4 linked regions of the Rattus norvegicus genome follow. The protein of the gene in region 1 interacts with the protein of each later gene in a pairwise test. Links are inferred from orthologs where the notes say so. Each region holds a gene or a part of one and is shown on either strand. Other genes may lie near its edges. The genes, in order: Fam168a, Ss18l1, Otub2 and Rbfox1.

Region 1 (5,196 bases):
GCAGTGCTGCCTCAGGAATATCTTCATTTGGACTAGATCATTTCAGAGGGCATTTCTGATGCTGACATTCTAAATCCTGAGTATTTCAGAAGGACTTCTATGAGGACATCATCTATATCCTGACCTCATCCTGGGGAACACTGAAAATCTAGGGCTACTATCCCAGGCTTAGATATCATAAAAAGTCAGGGTTTATTACTTTGTGTATCTAAGTAAAAGAAGTTGCTGGGCTTTTTGCAATATCATCTCCTGGATTTTTACTCAAATAAATTTAGAGCCAACTCATTGCCTGGAGGCCTAGCTACTTTGAAATGAATGATGAATCTGAAGGTCACAGAATGGGAACTTTGGGGGGCTATACCCTTAAAAGACATTTGAAGCTTACATTCAACCTGCTCCTTTTCAGAGGAAGAAACTGTAACTTAGAAATCCAGTAATTTTTCAAAAATCGCATGGCACATCTATACTCTTAGAGCTGGCTCCAGAGTTCAAGGCTAATGTTGCCCTGGGTAGAGCGGTTTCTGAGTTAACTGTCTCTACGGTATGATCTTGGGCATCTGGTATATTGGCCTTTGTATCCCGTTTCACTAAAGGCAGTGTCATGAGACAAAGGAGTTCTGTCAGAAGAAGTGCCAGCTCTGCCTTAGAAAGAGGTTTTGTTTACGATGCCTGCCTGCTGTGTGTCTCGGGCTCCTAGTCATAGCTTTAGGCTTATCAACGGGAGAATAGAAAGACACCATGTGCATTAGCAAGATAAAGCCTTTGCAGCCTCTTAACTCTGCTTCAATGTCATAAATCTTTTTCAGTTATACAGTCCCGCCTACGTTCACAGACATCGATCTTCACATCAAGGATACTTTTTACACTAATTGGTTTATTGATCATCAGATTTATACATCTGGACAAAGTCTGGACAAAACAATACTGCATGTCTGAATCTTGCCTTGACCTCTGTCTCCTTGTTGGTAGTTAAACAATAAAGCACTGAATAAGTAAGAGGGATAGCTAATTATGAACAGGCTTTAGCAAGTGTATTGGTTAAATTGGTATAAATTTGTCAAAGTGCCCTGAATGTAAAAGCAATGAAACATGAATGCTTGGGGGAGCCTTTGAGCCTGCATGAGTCAATCAGTCAATCAATCTCAAATCCATTAAAAAAAAAATCACATCCACTTATGTATTGCTTGCTTGAAGGTGATACCTTTTGGTCTTATCTAGAAACTTGACAGCCTATATAGGAGGGGAGAGTAACATGTGACTACTGGACATTTCTGTTGGGCCTTGAGAAGATATAGCACAGAAGATCAGACACTCAAGACTACCTAGCTGTGGGAAGGGCAACCTCTGGACGAATGAGGCCACTATTTCTAAAGGTATGTGAGCAAACCTGAAGGCTGGCTTACTGCTGAGGGCAGCTAGAACAGAGGGTTTCGTGGGAAGGATATAGGTAATAACTCCTGAGGGAGAGACTCAAGAGTCCAGTGACTAGCAAGGACTTTAAAAGTGACTTAGCCCAAGGCCACCATTGTATACAGTTCAAGAGACTATGAAACAAAGCGCAGCTATGAATCACCCAAAGTTCTGTGGAACTGGAGTCCTGTATCTTCCCCTCCAGGTCTCTCTGTTGCACTGTAGTAACTGTGCCTTTATTCATATACATTTGTGAAGTATGTGCAACTCAGTTTACATTATATAATCTTACACATGTTCATTAAGCTCTACTTGAAGCACCTGGAAACTGCAGAATCTACAAAAAGGTATGCCATGCTGAGTTAGTAAATGCTGACAGGTAAGGACAATGACAACAGAGAAAAAATGACGTTTGTTGTTTCTGTTTCATTAAAGACAAGGGCCCATCATGCAGCCTTGGCTGGCCTGGACATCACTGTGTAGACAATGCTAGCTAGTTATTATCTTACAGAGAGATCCCCCTGCCTCTGCCTCCTGAGTGGTAGGACTTCAGGCATGTGCTACCATGACAGGCTTGACATTGGATATTTAACTTATTTATTTTTAAAGGTTTGTTTTTATTTTATGTGTATGAATTTGCCTGTGTACATATGTGCCCCACATTCACGCCTAATACAAAAAGAGGTCAGAAGCAGGCACTAGGTCACCTGAAACTGGAGTTACTGAAAGCCAAGTGCTTTCAGCGGCTGAGCCATCTCCCTAGCTCCAACAGTGGATATTTACACTTGATCTCAACCAAAAAACAAAAGCAAGGACACTGGATATTTAAAGGGAAAGATAACAAATTCAATGAATTTTCTTAGCCTACCTAGTAGGTTACTTTCCTACAACATCCTGCTAAGGGTTTGTCCAGGGCCTGCTAGCATAAATTCAGACATTGGTGCCCCATGTCCAACGCTAACCATTGTCCACTCCCATGGCCGACAGTTGCTGCAGGCACACGTTCTTCCACTCTACTTTCTAAATGAGGGTCTTCACTGGAATCATTTTGTTACCAACGCTACAAAGGTGACAGCATCAGTTACCCCACTGAGCCTCAGGATGGACATGACCAATCTGGCTGCTGGCTTCCGTCTACGTCATGCCATGTTCCCACAGTGTACTTAGATGAACTAGGGCAATGTTTCCTATAGAGAAGACACTTTTCTTTTCCAGGGGAATACTGAGCCATACCTAGGAACTTTTTTGGGTGTGGCAGTGTGCTTTGTTGCTGGCATCTAACAGAGGCTATAGATCCTACTAAACATCCTACCACATATAGGCAAGAACTTATCTGGCCCAGACGGCAACAGCGCTAAAGTCAAGAAAACCAGTGGATGGGAAAAGCTGCCTCAGTTCAAAAATACACAAGGCCTTCAAATGGGCCCTGGTTCTTTCCCCTAAGAGTCAGTAACAGTCTCTCACAAATCCACGTTCTTGGCCCAGGAATGCTCCCCTCTCTCTGCTGTGGGATAGTGTCCTAAAGCTAAAGGCATGATCAAAGATGAACATTTTTCTTGAATGTCAAAGTCCAATTTTCTTGCCTGAGTAGGAAGGAGAACCTCTTAAAACGGTGTTAACATTAAAAATGCCATTTTAAAAAATTCCCTTTCCTTTCTTGCTACAAACGAATCAGTCCCAATCAAGGAGAACAAGGACAGGAGGAGACAGGCTGTATTTACTGAAAGCCGCAGAGGATGCTTGGTAAGTTCGGTTCTCCGTCCCGGTGTCCACTGGGAGGTGGAAGGTGCCTTCAGTGCCACAGGAAGAGGAGTTCTGTGGCCAGGCTTGTTTCATCAGCAGAGTGGCTTAAGGGAAGACAGAAGAACGGCATTAGGCAGAAATAAGAAGTGGGCATCGCCAATTACAGACACAAAAGCAAGGGTCTTGTGCTAGACAGAAACATAACTCAAGGAGCCTGCTCAGACACACAGAATGAGTCAGCCTTTTTGAGATGGGATAGTAGGTTGGAAGGAGTGCTGAAGTGAGCTTCCAAATGACTTAAATCCAAGGAAACCTACACTTAAGTGCTAAGACTCAGGATTTCCCTACCTGTGATAAAAACCATGAAGAGGCCCTTGAATATCACCATTTTCTACACCTTCTGGTCTAAGACTAATGGTATTTTCCTCTACCACCTTCTCATTAACATGAACACTTGCAAGTCTTTGACAGTGTAGTGGGCCAAATTAACTGAGTCTTTTTAAAAAATCCCCTGTGGTCTGAAACTTATTTGAGGTATGGTTAATAAGTGTGAGTTGCCTCCAGAGAAAAACTGACAAATAACCACCATTTTACATGCGCCTCCCTGGGACAGCATCTCTTCTCACGGCCGAGCTGTGTATGGCAGCCTCAAGGCCTGAGCACTGTGGCTCTGCTATCGGCCATGGGACAGGGCACTCTTTGCCGACTCCTTCTGCACACCAGCACGGTCAGACAGACAGACTTCTTGCATATGTCTGAGTATCTCCTAACAGGCAGTACTGAATACTCCATCTGAGACAGCTCCTCGTGAGTTAGAGATGCTCCTTTGGCCATTATGAAAATACATGTCAAAACTGGGGTAGGTACATAGTATGTTACAGAAATTAGTTTGAGATCTGTAGAGATTTTATAGGATAGCTCAAAGCTCAGCTTGAGAAATTTCAGTAAGTATTTTGAGGTGGGGAATGACTCGAACTTACCGTCATGGTAACCTGAGGGGAAGGAGAGAGGAAACAGGGGGGAAATACCTTTACACAAAAGAAGAAAGAGAGAGAGAAAAAGAGAGAAAGAAAGAGAGAAAGAGATGGGGGAGGGAGGGAGCAAGAGAGGAAGGAAGGAAGGAAGGAAGGAAGGAAGGGAGGGAGGGAGAAGGAAAGAAAGAAAGAAAGAAAGAAAGAAAGAAAGAAAGAAAGAAAGAAAGGGAAAACTATCCTTTTAAATACCAGAGGAGACACATTTTTGATACAAATTTCTATTTTAAGGTTAAAAATGATTAATTTTTTCTTTATAATATCTTTTCCATCCTAATTAGATGTTGGGAGTTTTGGACACAGAGTGTTCTAAAGTACATTAACAGTAAGGGGATGGACTGACAACAATCAGATGAACCTGACATATTTTAGTAAGTGGGAAGGAAGCATAATAAGAAAGTATGCTGGGTCTATAGATCCTATAGGGTTTGCTGCCTCCAGAGACGCCTGGTTTACCACTAGCATCTCTGTTCCTTCTATGGCAGAGTTATAATGGCTAGGGAAGGTTGTGCATTCTGCTGGTTTTTTTTGGAACTAGAATCAGATTGTTCTTCCAGAGGCTGACTCCGCTTGCATTGATGGCCCGCAATATATACAGCAAATGCTGAGGAATGAGAAGGAAATCATGGGCAGGAAAGTGACACTAAAAGGAGAATCTGGCAAGAGGAACAGAGACAGCCCAACCCCAAGCAGAGCCCAGAGCCCTTGCTAGACAGCCAGGACAGTGTGCAGCTTCTGCAGAGGGAAATCTGCTTGAAATAAACACCTTGGGTTTCTGCTCCAGAGGGTGGGATATAATATGAAAGGAATTAATAAAGGGTCCAATTAGTGTCAAAGATCTTATCACAAGGTCTCCAAATTCAGGGACTGACGTTCAGTGTGGCTGAAGGCCACAACCACCCACAAATTACTACTGTGTCAAATATGTTGCTCTGAGAAGTCAGACAGAGCAGTCCCATGCCCTGGGAGCTCAGTGGGTCTCTACCCAGAACCAAAAGGTCTCAATTTGACC
Region 2 (5,196 bases), on another chromosome or scaffold:
TGTACCCAGGCCCAGTACCATGGCCACTGCCTGACATACTCATGGAGGTTGTGGGCAGCGTGCTCTGAGCCGTCTGCTGCATGGACACGTGGTTTGGACCTGCCAGGAAGGGTAGGAGAGGGAGCATCAGGCACTGGAGGTTTCCACCTCAAGGTAAAGACGTCTGAGTTCCCTTCAGATGACTTTGAGGAGGAAGGCTCGCCCCAGGTCAGTAATACTTAGGAATTGGGCGAGTGATTAATGAACACACACACACACACACACACACACACACACACACACACACACACACCCCGTGTCACTGTTCCTGAGAGCCCCCAGTTGGTATAAGGAGTTCTTATTTTGCAGCACGAGCAGAGGCACCATCACACCTTTGTTCTTAAAGGATGCACGCAGAAGCACACGACCGTACATTAAACGCCACAGGACAGAGTCAAACAGACCCGGGCACTTGGAGTCAGCCTCATGTCCTCTGCATGGTTAGTCAACCACCACATACACTTAGGCTTAGAGGAATACCTACAGCCAGGACAGTGGGAGAGAGGTGGTTGCACGACAGGAGGGAAGGCACTGTGCCCAGCCCTGGTGGGTGTAGGCTGCCACTAAACCCACTATCTACAGCTAGCTTGGTGACATCGCTGCCGCAAACCTGCTCACCGTTACCGATCTGGCCCTGCATGAGGGAGGCAGGGGGCAGGCCTGTGCTGACGGTGTCACTGAGGCTGCCCTGGGGGTGCAGGCCCTGGCTGGAACCGCTCTGACTCAGTGCTCCGGGCCCGAGGTTCATGTTCTGGGTTGGAGGCTGTAGACAACAGAGAGGTTGGAGTGAGAGAGAGTTACCTCAGAGAATAAGCACCAAGAGCCATCCCAGGGACTCAAGTGACCCACGAGAACTGCACAGCCACCGGCCAGCATGGTGCTGAGCTGAGCTGAGACATTCTTGACGTTCAGACACAAATCAGCTGGCTGTTGGGTCTTAGTGCCCACATCTTATCAATGAACCAGTCAGTGCACAAGCTGGCTTCCGCTCCTTTCACTTGCTTTCCCTTCTCATCCTCCATCCATCCCCTCAGCCAAACACATGGTGAAGAAGGAGGTGGGTCTTCTCCTCACCAAACAGTGGCTGCAAAGGTTTGCACACACACGCTATCTAGACCTGGCCGAGAAAAGGAGCTCCCAGCCAGGCCTGGTGCTGCAGGGCTACAGTCTCAGTAGAGAAGTGGAGGCAGGAGGATGACAAGTTCAAGGCTTGCCTGGGCTACAGAGTTCAAGTTCAGTATGGGCAAAACAATTAGACCTGGAGACTTAAAACTTATTTCTAAGAGGTAAAAAGAGACCCAGGGACATAGCCTCACACGCATATAGCTCCAGGTCAGCCCTAGTAGTGAAAAGAAATGAGATGGGGCGTCTCCAGCAGGAGCCACATCACAGCTGACCAAGGTAATGCCACTTGTAGCACCTCCACTTTCCAAGGGAGCCACGTACTAAGGGACGAGTCTTTTCCTGGTCTACCCTGGCACCTGCAGTCAGCTTTGGTCATCACGGGGTAGGTAGCTCCTTCTCTTGGCCACGTAACCTCACTTGGCCACGGTCACACAATCTGACATCACAGTTAAAGTTTAATTTGGGGAAAATGCATTTACAGAAAATCAAACAGACAATAAAATATTTATAGCGGTATCTGGACCGTGACCGCACTGGAGATTTCCCCCATTAACTTCCTTTTTCTTTTTAATTTAAAAGACAGGATTCATGGGGTGTAGCCTCAGCTAGTTTGGTACTTGATATACGGCCCAGTCTGACTTCACACTGACAGCAATCCTCCCACCTCAGCTTCCCAAGTGCTAGGATTGAAGGAGTACACCTAGCAAGACATTTATTTTTCTATCCCAGCAGTACACCCATATGCACTGGGACTGTGCACGCCATTTGGAAAGGCTTACAGTGTATGAGGCTCTGCATTTAAGCCTCAGCACCACAGAAACAAAGAGGAAACGATTTACAACAAAGGCAAAAAGACCTCTCCCGTTGGTCATGACACTCACCGTTAACACTCCCCAGGGTTGGTTCTGGGGCCACTTCCCTAAACTAAGCAGGCTACGTTTCAATTCTTCCCATCTAACGCAGCCATTCACGACCTTTCCCTGTGGGACAGGGGTTTTCCCAGAACCCCCAATTTCTGATGCCTCATAGCTCTGGGCTGCTGTGGGTCACCTGTCTACTTGAGGCGACACACACAGAAACTGGTTGAAACTGGCTGCGGCACCTACCGCGGGAAGCAGAGACTGCATGTTCTGGTTGGAATCTGCTATGGTGGCCAGGTAGACCAGGTTCCGGTGCAGGATCTGCTGGTACCTGCGGAGGGAGAAGCATTCAGGTAAGGCAGGACAAGCGGCCACACCCAAGGTAGAGGCAAAGTCTAACCGAGTCAGCCCCAACCTCCAGCCTGGCAGGACAGCGAACAGTGACGCTAGGCTGGGAACGGGCAGCTGGCTGCTTTCCACAGTCCAGTGAGGGATAGGCGGGGAACAGGTCTAGCCAAGACCTAAGCAGGCTCCTGCTCCAATGACTGAACCCTGGGAAGACCCTGAGGTGTGAGTCAGGAGGGAGGTGCTATTGGATCAATGGGAGAATAGGTGATCATGGCAGGACAACAGGGAACAGAGCCCTGCTCCACAGAGCCAGATGTGAGGCTGACCCCATAGAGCAGACATCTTGAAGAGCCCTGGAAGAAAACAGGAAGGGTCCAGAGGACTGAGGCTCCTCACCCACACATCGCACCGGGCAAAGTCTCACTTTTCTCTGACCAGATGCATGAGGTGAGGACCCAGGAGGCCCCTCGTGAAAGTGTGAGAGAGGTCTGAGGTACTCTGCCCACCCAGAGGCACAAGCTGTCTTCTGGTTGGGTCTACTGCTGGCCCCATGGATGGAGGCTGTACAAACACCTCTCCATGTTCCCCTTTGCCTCTTTTTCCCCCAATCCCCGATGAGAAGGTTTCCCACCCCACTTGCTCTCTTGAGACCACACCTGACCTCCCTCTGCTCTGCACCAAGGAAGTTTCCCAGCACGTGGAAAAGGCAGTCACAGAGACTGGCGGTGGGCTGGGTCCCTGGCTGGCCTGGTTACTCACTGGGTGCACTCGGCTGTCTTGCCCTTGCTCTGGTAGTCCAGGATGCACTGGATCAGGTGGTGGTTCTCATCCAGCATCTGGGGGGAGAGGTAAGCAGGGTGCACGCAGTCACACAGCAGCTGGTTCACATCTAGGATGCCAGGACCCTTGGGGAATGCGGTAAGGGCACCCACTCCAGGTCCTGGCACCTACCTAGAGAGCTCCACAGACCCTCAAACCTCAACTCCACAAGAGGGCAGAGGCAGCTTACGTCCATCCCCGTGGGCTATGCTCAGCCTGGGCCAGTGAGAGAAGCCCAGGAGATGAATGTATGGAAGGAGGCACTGTAGGCGCACAAGAGCAGGCAAAACAACAAGAGGACTACCAATCTGCAACCTCGTCCCTTTGGATCTCCCTGAGACCCAAGGACATGAAAGGAAGGGTGGCAGAGGCCCGGGCTACACTCTGCAGAGGCCGGCACTGTTTTGAGACTGTCTTACACATCATATGGGACCTGGATCAGAAAACAGCTTCATGGAGGTGATGTGTGAACAGGCAGGTACAGACATGGCGGAGATGGACCGTGGGCTCCCAGAAATGCGGCGTGAACCAGAGACTGTTCCAGGGAGAAGGAAGTTGATCCTCACTCCGGCAGGCATAGCCCACACTCATTGGCTGTAGCACTGTAGGGAATCGGTCAGAAACATAGACCCCCCAAGCCTGGACCTGCCCAGGTGGCTGGTACACATGGCGGTGCTGGAAGACTGAGCTCCCAAGGTGTCCAGGATGTGCAGGCACCCTTCCCAAACTCAGTCATGTGAGGTCTGACCTCCACAGACCCCAGGGCTATCCTGGGATGTACTGGTTCCAGTGACTGGTAACAGACTGGAGATCAGGATCACTGGGCAGTGCAAATGCTTGTGAGGGAAGTGGGCCAAGCCTGTGGACAGGCACAGCACACAGGGCCTTCTGCCACCCCATGGTCCTTGAGGAGCATCTGAGAAAGTGAGGGAGAGATGGGAGGGGAGAGTAGAAGTGTGGCAAGCCAGTGGGCAGAGGACAGCCAGCAGGCGCAGCGCTGAGCCATGTTCTACCTGGAGTGACCAGGGTCCCTGGGGGAGGAACCCTGGAACACCTGCTCTAGGGTCTATACTTGAGTGTTCATGACAGGCAGGCAGGCCCTTCCTCCACCTTCACAGAAACACATTTGCCCTGTTCCTTGAGGCTGCCTGATGCCCTTCCCTCTACTTTGCATTGCGGGTTCCTGGACCTGCCTTCTCCCTGAGACCAGCTCCCAACTTCACACACCTTACTTAGCCTATAGAGCCTTAAGTGTAGTCTCTCCTGTCCCGCTCTTTTGTAGGTTAAAGCGCCCCCTCTCCCCACTGTTTTCCTTCCCCTGCGGAGATGACAACACATCCTGCACTGAGTGCCCACCAGGGGGCGCTGCTGCACAGAAGCTGCTAGTGATGCCTAAGAGTGATCTAAAGGCCAGGGAAGGACTTTCTCCAGGGTCACTGGTCACTCACTCCAACCCCCTACCTCCACCCCCGCCCCCCACAGGCAAGGCTCCCAGCATCCTCTTCTTCAACCCCACACTCTCAAGGCTCTCTCTAAGGACACAAAGTAAACCCCCTACAACATGTCCAGGTTGTCGTGTAAACTCTAGCCACCAACAGCCAAAGGGAAGATGCAGAGAGGCCGGTGAAGGGATAGCCATACAGAGGGACAGTGCCGATTTGCACAGGGCCTAGCATTTGTGAGCATAAGGAAATACTGAACTGGTACCACTTTTTAGGATTTGCTCCTTTAACTACGTGTGTATGACTATGTGTATATGTGTTTACTTGTGTGCTGGTATGTGCATGATGTGTGTAGGCACCCACAGAAGCCAGAAGAGGAGGGTCAGATCCCCTACAGCAGGAGTCACAGGTCATTGGGAGCTGCTCAGTGAGGGTGCTGGGAACTGAACCTGGAAACTCAGCAAGGGCAGTGCATGCTCTTGACTTTGGAGCAGCACCTCCAGCCCATGCTTTCTTAAGACAGCGGATGGGGGTGCTGGCTTGCTTAGTCTGAAGACTCGCAG
Region 3 (5,196 bases), on another chromosome or scaffold:
GACACATACACACATGCAGGCAAACACTCATACAATAAGTAAATGTAATTTTGAAAATAATACTCAGAGCCCAATTTCCTGTTTAGTACTCACTATGCTTCTAAGTGGCCAGGGAATGTTACACACCTGAGGTGGGAGTGCCATGGGCCCCAGCATGTGCTTCTGTCCCTCAGATCTCTGCTGCTGGCTGCTTCTGTGGGGTAGCCAGTAATCCAGTAATCCGTCCTAATACCAGCTCACCTATCCTGTCAGGCCTCCCTGCTCTCAACCCCAGCTTCATGACTGTTAATCCACATCCCTGCAATACAAGGCCCATCCTGACACAGGCCACGGGGCCCTCACGAGCGTGGTGAGACACCTGACCTGGCCACCAAGCAGCTCTTCGTGAACCTCAGGACCAGCCTGGCACTGGGCTGTCCCCACTCTCTATCGGGGTCAAGGTCCAGCAAGAGGGCTTGGTAATGTGGCTGCCCCTCCATGCAGTGGAAGGGAAGAGAAGATTCCTAAAGTTATCTGCTGGTCTCTCTGCACACACCACAGTGTGCTCTGTCACACACACACACACACACACACACACACACACACACACACACACACACACACACACACACACACACACACACATACACACGAACATGACCAAGGCCAGCAGGGACAAGCTTCCTCCTTTTGTATTCTTTTTCTTTCTCTTCTTTTCTTCTTTTCTTTTTCCTCCTCCTCTTCCTCCTTCTCCTCCTCCTGCTCCTCCTCCTTCCTCTCTCTCTCTCTCTCTCTCTCTCTCTCTCTCTCTCTCTCTCTCTCTCCCCCCCCGTCTCTCTCTTTCTTTCTTCCTTTTCCTCTTCTCCCTCTTCCTTTTCTTTCTCTTCTCCTTCCTTCTCTCTACCTCCTCCTCTTTCTTGTGTTGGTGTTTAAAACAGGGTTTGACTGAGTGCCACCACGTCTGTTTGTCATTGTGCAGTAAATGCAGTAAATACCAAGCGCCCACCCAGTGTTGGTGAACCAAGCCTTCAGGCAATGCTGGAGGAAGTGTCAAACAGATACAGACACCTTCCTGAGCCTCTGGGCTGCCATCAACACTGGCACAGTGGCCAGCTCTCAGCTCCCCTGCTACACAAGCCGGCTCTAACAGAGAAGCAGAAGAGTCTACACAGGCCCCACTCACTTGAGGATCTCTCTGCCCTTGCCCAGCAAAGACTCCAGGTAGGAATAGCCCAAGGCCCTGTAGAAGCAGTTCCCGTCTCCTTTGGTCTTTCGGATTGAGGTGAATCTTTTGCTGAGTTCCTAAGGGGAGAGGAGGACACATGGACCTCAGCAGCAGCAACACTGGTGTGGGTCAGTCACTGGCCTGGCCACAGCTCCCTCCCACCAGGGTTCCCACCCTCATCCATCCCACAGATACACAAATACACTGCGGTGTCAGACACAGAGGATGTCAGTTCCTGGGCACCAGCCAGCCTCCAGTTGGGGGAGGTACCACAGAATTAGATGATGGTGACAGAGATTGAGGACATGATTGGGGTGTCCTGGGCCAGAGACAAACATACCAGACTCTGGCAGTCAGGGAAGGCTTCCTGGAGGAAGCTGGCAGTTGAGTGGGGTGGGTGATAGGGAGGCTGCAGAACACTAGGCAACCTCGGCAGTTCTCTAAAGGTTTCTCAGGGGTGTGGGGAGTGCCGGACCACACCAGAGAGGAGTCAAGCAAGTGAATCCAGTGCTACACTGGTGCTCAGCTTTAAAATGTGTGGTGTTCCCACAAAGAGAGGCTTTCTGAGGCAAATGCACAATGTCAGAATGGTCTAAGTGTGTTTCAGTTTGCACAGGAACCTGGCCCAAACTCCACGCTGACCAGAAGCTGCCCCCTTCTCTACTCCCGACCCCAGCCCTCTTTGTTTAGGCTCTTGGCCCCTCTGCCCTCTGCCCCACCTGGATTTTCCTCTGGTAAATCCTGTTTTCAGGATGATCCCGAAGAATAGATAGAATGTCACATTTTTCTGATATTAGGTTGAAAGATGTTTCACTCTGAAAGAGAAAGAAGAGATGCTGAGCTGGCTTCAAAGACACCTGCAGCGCTCACGGAGCTGATGGCCTCTGAACAACCAACGGGGTACACAATCTAGAACATGACCTGTTCTCTCAAGGGAAGTGTAAGCCTTTGACCAGGACAATAAGGACTGGCACCAGCATGAGGTAACCTGGCTACAAAGAACTAACCTTATAGCTTACTAACCGGTTCATTTCAATATATTTAATACCTCAGACTTAATAAATCTCTATGCTGGAGTATGCTCCTGCCTCTTCATTCATTCATTCATTCATTCATTCATTCATTCTTTTCTTTACTCACCCGAGTCCCCCAGTTCCTTAACATGCAGCCTGTGCCAAGCCTAACATCACCACATGCTGGCAATACAGGGGTATTCCCATCCCTACACAAAAGCCAGTGATACCACAGGGTGAAGGTTAGCTATGGGGTGACCCTGTGTGGCACTGGGGGTGTGTGTGTGAGGGTTCAGGGAAAGGGTAACAATCTGAGTTTACACAAGGGCTGAGGCATTGAGGACATCTTCCCATATTGCCTACCAGTGTAACCCAGCTCTGAATCAAGGCCAGAACCAAGTCTGAGCCATGGTCTCTTAAGTCCTTACAAAAGCAGGTGGGAGACGACAGAGGATGCCATGGATGGAGGAGTGGTAGTCACCTCCCCACCTCTGCTCCTTTACTAAGCTTGGGGTGAGAGTGCTCAGGGCTGGGGCTCAGCCAACTGGCCATGTACCCTCACCACCAGCCACCAGGAATGGTGCTCTCCTCAGAGCAAACCTCAAAGTGTCGGGCTGCAGGGCGGTGGTGGCACACACCTTTAATCCCAGCACTCAGGAGGCAGAGGTAAGCGGATCTCTGAGTTCAAGGCCAGCCTGATCTACAAAGCAAGTTCCAGGACAGTCAGGGCTACATAGAGAAGCCCTGTCTCAAAACAAACAAACAAACAAACAAACATTCCAGGGCTGGTGAGATGTCTCAGATTGCTAACAAGCCTGACCACCTGAGGCTGATCCAGGATCCCACATCGGGGAAAGGGAGAACCAACTCTCACAAGCTGTCTTCTAACCGTGTAAGTGGTTTGTACGTACACACACACACACACACACACACACACACACACACACACACACACACACACACACACACAGAGAGAGAGAGAGAGAGAGAGAGAGATTGCTCTTTAAGTGCTTTTTGACTCATATAAAGGATTTTCCAGCTTAAAATAAGGTTTCTGTGGCTGAGGACAGGACTCTGTAAATACACCACTTGTCTTTTAAGTGTGAGGATCAGAGTTCAGATCCCCAGAGTACGTATTCAGGCTAGATGAGGAACCTGCTTCTGATCCCAGCTCTCAAAGGATTGGTAGGTACAGGGGATCCTTGGGACAAGCTGACAAACTAATTACCCAAATTGGCGTATTCTAGGCCCATAACAAAGCCTGCTGGGGCTTCTGGGAAAGCTTTTGGTTTGGGATGAAAGAGCAGAGATGCTGATGCAATGTCTACCTTACAGCAGCCACTCTGTGACCAGAGGTTGAAAGCCAACATAGGGAGGATGGTTCGATGATCTGCTGCTACTCTAAGCCCAATCAATGTGTGACATGGGTGATGGGTGCCATCACTGGGCACTACTGTGTGCCAAGATCGGGAGCAGAGGTTCACATGGCCCCATTATCTCAATTATCATAACACTCTTATGAGGTGGCGATTATACCCACCGCCAAGGTCAGGTTGTGTGAGCTAGGAAGTGATTCCTGCAGGTCCCTGTGAAGTTCAGACACACCAAACTGCTGGGTATGCACACAGCCCAGATGCCAGAGTTCTCAAAGGACTCAGCTGCTACAGCACAAAGAACTGTCCTATCCGGGGCAGTGTGTGGCCTTCTAATCCAGAGGCTGGGTCCAACTTCTCGCTTCTGCAGCACCCCAAGAGACACTGTTCAACCCACCCCACCCCACTTCCTGATGGGAGTTCAGTGTGTCCAAGAGCCTGGACAGTGTGTGATGCTTACTGCAGAGTGTCAAGGGACAGTTCTCAAGTGACTCCGGGCACAGCCATTGAAAGGTATCAGCAGGCTGAGGGTGTGGCTGAATAGTGGGTGAGCTGCTCTGGCATGTGCAAGGCCCTGGGTTCATTCCTAGCTCTGCAAGGCAAACAAAGACAGGAGAGCAGGGCCCACTGCCAGAGGGGGAGACAGCCCCTCCTCCACCTGCTTTGAGCCTTCTACCCGTGCCAAGAAGGTACCAACTTCTTCCTTATGTTCTTCCTTCCCATTTCCTAGTTGTCTCCCTTTCAGAGTTTCACAGACCTCAGGCTCATAGCTTGGATAGGCTCCATTCCATTTGCAGGTTTAGAAAAACCTTAGGCCAAGATAACTTTGTTGACTTCATAGATGTGTATGTATGTTTAGAATATAGACACATGTATATATAAACATACATTCATATATTTAAATATATATGTAAAATAATTATGTATAGAATATATTTAATATATTAATAATAACTATACATATAGCTATATATATAACTATATATATATTGTTCAGAATGATGGAAGTGTGACATCATTTATATAACACACAGCTGCTGGTGTGTGGTTAAGTCTGCTAACACTGTGTTGAAGACACAAATCCCCATGGGGCGGTATCGTTCTGAACAGCCCTCTCCACACCCTGTGTGCATGGCAAGGTAACCCATGGGCCCCTTGCCTGGCAAGTGGCCACATGTTCTGCTCAACCAAACGCCTTCTTGCTCCCTTGTTAATTCATTCATGTCTTGCTATCCGCTTCATGACTGTTTATAGAAGTATTTTTACAGGTGGATGACTTAGAACAGTGCATGGGGTTTTCCAACAACAGGCTACAGAGCACGACGCCCCGACTGTATCTGGTGAACCTGCACTCAATCCTGGCCCCAAACAAACACCAGCAATAAAGATGCCAGGGGTATAGGGGACACAGAAGGATGCCCAGCCAGCAGCCATATTTACTTGACCGTTTCTGAGTAGGCATCAGGGAGCAGGGGAAGAGGAACTCCACTCATCCTCAGAGAGGAGTCCTGAGGGGCGAGGCACTACACCAGGGCCTGTATCTGCCCGGTGGAGTAGGGAAGCTTGCTGCCATGGGCAGATTCTCTGTAGCTATCTGCAGTCACAC
Region 4 (5,196 bases), on another chromosome or scaffold:
ACCACTAAATGGGTCTGGGGCATTCTTCATCCTTCAATTGCTATGAGTGTTGTTTGCTCCTGTAGCTTATCCATACCCACCCCAGCTCACACTTGGCTCTCTACTAATGGAAGCTATCTCAACTGGGTGCTTAATCACCTCACAGGAAAGTCCTTAGGTGGCCTTGGTATTACTTGGGTATTAAATAGCTTACCAACTTGCCTCCCCAGAGAGATCAGCTCTAACATGCAACCAGCAGGATCAGATGAAAGCCAGCCTCCAGCTCACTGTTCCCTGCTTCCTTCTTTTCTCTTGCTATGCCTGCCTCTTTCTCCTCTAGGGAGCATGCTCTCCACAAACCATTTAAGCTAGAGTCTCCATGTCACTCACACTTTCCATGGACCTTCTCCCAAGATTGTATCTGAACATTGAACAGTATCAAAACCTCACTGTTCAAATCATCCCCAGAAGCTATCTGGGAATTGATGTCAAACAAGCAAGGGCGTGATATTACAAATCAAGTGTGCACATCACCCTGGGAAGGCATTCCTGCTCCAAATGTCCCTACATCAAGAACTATCCCGAGATTGGATAAGATTCTAGGATACCAAGATCGAAACCAAACCAAACTATGATTTCTGAGTATGACCCAGGGTGCTTGGTGACAATCAAATAAGATGAAAAGACATCTAGCTCATCTGTTCTTGAGCACTAAATTTTGTTTGAGACACAGGGATTCTCAAGACCAGTTTATCATTTGCTTCCTGCCTGCCTCTGACTCTGAAGTAGCAACATCACAGTAGAAGAGAATGTGTGTGTGTGTGCGTGTGTGTGTGTATGTGTGTATGTGCATGTACATGTGAGGGAGGGAGTGTGTGTGTGTGCATGTACATGTGAGGGAGGGAGTGTGTGTGTGCATGTACATGTGAGAGAGGGAGTGTGTGTGTGTGTGTGTGCATGTACATGTGAGGGAGGGAGTGTGTGTGTGTGTGTATATATGCATGTACATGTGAGGGAGGGAGTGTGTGTGTGTGTGTGTGTGTGTGTGTATGTTTACAGTTATATGCCCCATCTATGGAGTGTTCCCCTGAGACATTTTACCCCCAAGGTTTTCATGCTTTGTGTAAATATAATTTGTGATGTTTCAAAAACAAAATCATAGGATGATGCCTTTCTCAGAATGGGTCCCCATCATTAACTTGAACATGACCGTATGTGGAATACATCCCTAAGACTGGCTGTGTCACGTGTGTCACTAGGCTCAGTCTGAGTTTCTTCTTATCCTGCAGTGGAGAGGGGCGTTTCATGTTTTAGAATGAGGACAACCCCTCCATGCTCTCTTGGTACTCTCTCATTGCTGCTCTAAACACAGTGGAATCACGGTACCTCAGCGACCATCATGAACCACTCTCACCTCTTCTTCCCTTTGCAGTTACGGACGAGTTTATGCTGCCGACCCCTACCACCACACACTTGCTCCAGCCCCCACCTACGGCGTTGGTGCCATGGTGAGTAGCAGCTCCTCCTTGTCCTCTGCTCCTCCTGCTGTCTTCCCTGCCCCCCACCCCAGCTGGGGCCTCAGGATGGGCTGATGGTTGAAGTCCTCTCACTTTCCCTTAATTGAATTTGTCTCTTGTGCTAACAGCAGCTAAAATGCCACATTAATCCTCCCAGTAAACTTGATAAATGTCTTAATTTCTTGGCAATGTAGTGCATGTAAGTTATTATATTTCTAATTTTGCAAGTCTCACCTAGCGAGCACTTACCTTAATGGAATAATTAGTCATTTTGATAATTAAATCCATCACTAACGGAATGCAGTGTCAATGCAGAACTTTTTTTTTCTTTTTTTTCCCTTCCCTCCCGTGCTGCTCTGCTCATTCACATAGCCCCAAGGTTCCAGCCCCAGCACAGACTTCAGAGGAGCTAAGCTGCAGACTTCCAGGCCTCTGCTGTCAGGCAGCTGAGCATCTGCCTGCCTCTCCTCCCCTTTTACAATTCATGTTTAAAGTCATAGTCGCCCAGGAGAGAAAGTAGACAGAGGGGCACACTTTGTGAGTGTGCCTAGTACATAAGAAATTAAGGAATCAGCTGGCTTTGGGGGGGGTCATCTTGTTTGTTTTGGGTTTTTGGGTTTTTTTTGCAGTTTTTTTTTTTTTTTTGTTTTGTTTTGTTTTGGTTTGGTTTTTTTTTTTTTGGTTTGTTGTTTTTTACTTTTCTTCTTGGAGGGTGGGATATCTGGGATTTTGGTTTTGCTTTTTGTTTTGGGAAGGGAAAGGGGGAGGGCAACAGTGGGGGGCAAGGGTAGGGTGAATCTGCCTGTACTTGTTCAAACTTCTATGCACTAACACTCTTGAGTCCAGTAAGACATGTCCATCGCGTTGGGCGCACATGCGATCAATTCAGCGCCTTGGCATGCAGTCTTCTGCTTGAGTTGAGAATCTTAGTCCTCTCCCTAAAGCTCAGTCCCATGGGCATTCATTGGAATCGCCAATAACTGCAGCAAAAAGAAACGCTTAAGTGTCACCTCATCGCCATAGGAAGCTATGGCTAGACAATTCCCTGTATCCTGGATCATAGAGACCCAAGCAGGCATAGAAGAGCCTTCTTCAAGCTTAATCACACCCAGCAATGCCCCTGTCCCACCCCCACGGAGGCAGCATCAGAATCCGTAGGTTGCCTAGCCAAACCTAGATGCAGGCTTTTATTCTTATTTCAACATGGCATCCAATAACCCTGCTTCAACACCTAGGCCACCTGAGGAAAAGGGTGGAAAAGAATCCTGAGTCCCTGCATTCGCCACATTGTGTAGAACTACCTTTGAATATACATAGAGCTTCTCCCAGTGGAACATCTTATCAATTATTCCAGTCACTGAAAAACAAACGGTAAACTGAGTCAGTTCCTAGCCATCCACTTCCCCATTTGTAAACTGGAGGCCTCATAGCTGGTAGGTAGGACCAGCAGATCCAGTTCAGTTTCCTGGGATTATTATTTTTTTCATAAGGAGTTACAGGAGGAGGTCAGGAGTGACCACCATTAACTTTCTAAGAAGGTCATGGGATGGGGAAGGGGGTGCCCTCTATTTTGGTTGGTTTTGAGTGTCTATTTTTTTTTACATTAGTCTTTTTGATGATCCACATGTTACAAAAGGCAACATGTAAAAAAACACACCCCTCAAATTGCTTTGTTTCAGAATGCTTTTGCGCCCTTGACCGATGCCAAGACTAGGAGCCATGCTGATGATGTGGGTCTCGTTCTTTCTTCATTGCAGGCTAGTATATACCGAGGGGGATACAACCGTTTTGCTCCATATTAAATGATAAAACCATTAAACAAACAAACAAAAAACAAAACAAAAACAAAAAAACCAACCTTCCAATGTGGGGAGAGAGGAAGCTTTCCGAGGCCCGAGTGTTGCGACACATGCAGTAGGACATCACTTTAGCAACTCAAAGAAACAACTAAAAAAAAAAAAAATCAAAAAAAAGAGGAAAAATTACATTTTTTATCTTATACCTCAGATATTTTGTTCTGTGTATTTTAATATTGTGGGTCTTTGGTTTATGAAGGTTTTTGTAGTTCAGTTGCTGGCTGTAGGAGTTTTTGTGGTTGATCTAGAGAGAGGCTAGATATAAATAAAAACCGATTTAGGGCCATATCCAGAGTGCTATATTATGTAAATGGATTATATATGCCGAACATGAAGCTACTGGGGTTACGCTGTTTGGGAAGACTGTAAGTGGCAAGTCATTCTTTCTGCATCTATATTATTTTATTCTGTGAAAGGGGAGGCCGGGAGGGGCTTAGGGGTTTGGGACTGGGGTTTGGCTGAAAGGAAAAAAAAAGAAAATATATATATATATAAATACATATATATAGTAACTGATGAATCTAAATGACCCACTGCACCAACTATCATAAATCTATGGTTCGAAGTTACTCCTGGCAAAGGCAAGCCAAAGGCTGTGTTAAGAATCTGCTTCTTATAGCACGGAGATTGCAGTTGAACGAAGCTGTGACGGTCCGCCCTCTTATCATTCCACCGCAGTACGCAGCTTCTTACCTACCCACTAGTTATTTAAGCCAAGGCTACTAGTTAGGCCATCAATAAGCATTCTTTTTATATTTCTTCCAGTATGAGAAATTATTGATATCACTGCTGACTTTTATATTACGGGAGGGAAAATTAACATTAATAAAAGGTGATAAAAAGCACTGTTTCTATTTTTTTCTTTTTTTCCAAAAAAGAAAGTAATAAAAACTTAAATTCTTTGTACCAGTTAAAAATATGTATAAAATTTACATCTGTGCAGTGGAGTTATGTTCTAGAAACAGTCTCTGAGGCTTTAGTTTTAGCTTAGTAGATTAACTGTTAGAGACAGACGTATAATTTTTATGGAATTACATGATAATCATATCTGGATTTATAGTCGCATTTTACAAGTATCGCAATCATTGAATAGAGATAATCACGGTATTTTCATCAGCTTGATACTTTTTGAAAACATGACTGCGCTGTGAGCAACTTGCAATTTTTCAGTCTGTGAGAGCCTGCCCTTCCTTCTCCCCAGTGCCCCAGGGTTATGTTAAACTGGTGTCTTTACTTCTATCGCCAAGGCCCAAGACAATTGTCAGAAGGAAGCAAAAACAAGACAAAAAACAAAACTAGAACCATGCCCTCCTTCCCCAAAGAGCAGTGTCTGCCGCATCCTTTTCCGGAGCAGGGCCAGAGCAACACAGCCGAAAAATTGCAGCTTGTGAATTTCTTCTGTTTGAATCCCCCCATGTTGTCCTGTTTACAAGTTAACCTAAGTTGGGGTATCTGTCATGGGTCTTCCTGTTTTTGTATTTAAATTCTAAAATATCAGCAAGCTGTTCCCTGAGTAGTGTTTTTGCCTGTGTGTGCAGTGCCGGCCCCACGGCACGCACTTTAGTAAGTTATCAACTCACGCTGTGAACCTGCCAATCTGCTGTAACAACTCTGCTTTAAAATCAAAACCAAACAAAACTTTAAAAAGAAAAAAAAAAGTGTTTGTGATCCAGCTTTTCCTCATCATCCTACGTGCATGCCCGTAAGATCGGTTGGATATTAAACCATCAATAAAGTTTCATGAGATTTGAAAACAAAGTTTTCGTAGCTTCGATATCTAAGACAGAGGATCATGGTTTGGGAGAGGAAGAAAAGCAAGGGGCGAGGAGGGGAAGGGAGAGAGA

What was found.
Region 2: the proteins of Fam168a (region 1) and Ss18l1 interact in binary tests that used the Homo sapiens proteins (3 or more experiments, as listed by UniProt). The two-hybrid records come from large-scale screens. The link is inferred for Rattus norvegicus from reciprocal best matches to the Homo sapiens genes FAM168A and SS18L1.
Region 3: the proteins of Fam168a (region 1) and Otub2 interact in binary tests that used the Homo sapiens proteins (3 or more experiments, as listed by UniProt). The two-hybrid records come from large-scale screens. The link is inferred for Rattus norvegicus from reciprocal best matches to the Homo sapiens genes FAM168A and OTUB2.
Region 4: the proteins of Fam168a (region 1) and Rbfox1 interact in binary tests that used the Homo sapiens proteins (3 or more experiments, as listed by UniProt). The link is inferred for Rattus norvegicus from reciprocal best matches to the Homo sapiens genes FAM168A and RBFOX1.

Annotation. Positions count from the first base shown.
Region 1 is NC_086019.1:164,597,703-164,602,898, reverse strand, and holds part of Fam168a (protein FAM168A), read right to left. Parts: intron 3,258-5,196; coding exon 3,132-3,257; intron 1-3,131.
Region 2 is NC_086021.1:187,526,968-187,532,163, reverse strand, and holds part of Ss18l1 (calcium-responsive transcription coactivator), read right to left. Parts: intron 3,209-5,196; coding exon 3,132-3,208; intron 2,356-3,131; coding exon 2,271-2,355; intron 803-2,270; coding exon 658-802; intron 100-657; coding exon 1-99. UniProt on the Homo sapiens protein: Transcriptional activator which is required for calcium-dependent dendritic growth and branching in cortical neurons. Recruits CREB-binding protein (CREBBP) to nuclear bodies.
Region 3 is NC_086024.1:128,319,006-128,324,201, reverse strand, and holds part of Otub2 (ubiquitin thioesterase OTUB2), read right to left. Parts: intron 2,020-5,196; coding exon 1,924-2,019; intron 1,282-1,923; coding exon 1,163-1,281; intron 1-1,162. UniProt on the Homo sapiens protein: Hydrolase that can remove conjugated ubiquitin from proteins in vitro and may therefore play an important regulatory role at the level of protein turnover by preventing degradation.
Region 4 is NC_086028.1:8,659,584-8,664,779, reverse strand, and holds part of Rbfox1 (RNA binding protein fox-1 homolog 1), read left to right. Parts: intron 1-1,411; coding exon 1,412-1,487; intron 1,488-1,868; coding exon of another isoform or gene 1,869-2,016; exon of another isoform or gene 2,017-3,175; coding exon 3,176-3,298; 3' UTR 3,299-5,196. UniProt on the Homo sapiens protein: RNA-binding protein that regulates alternative splicing events by binding to 5'-UGCAUGU-3' elements. Regulates alternative splicing of tissue-specific exons and of differentially spliced exons during erythropoiesis.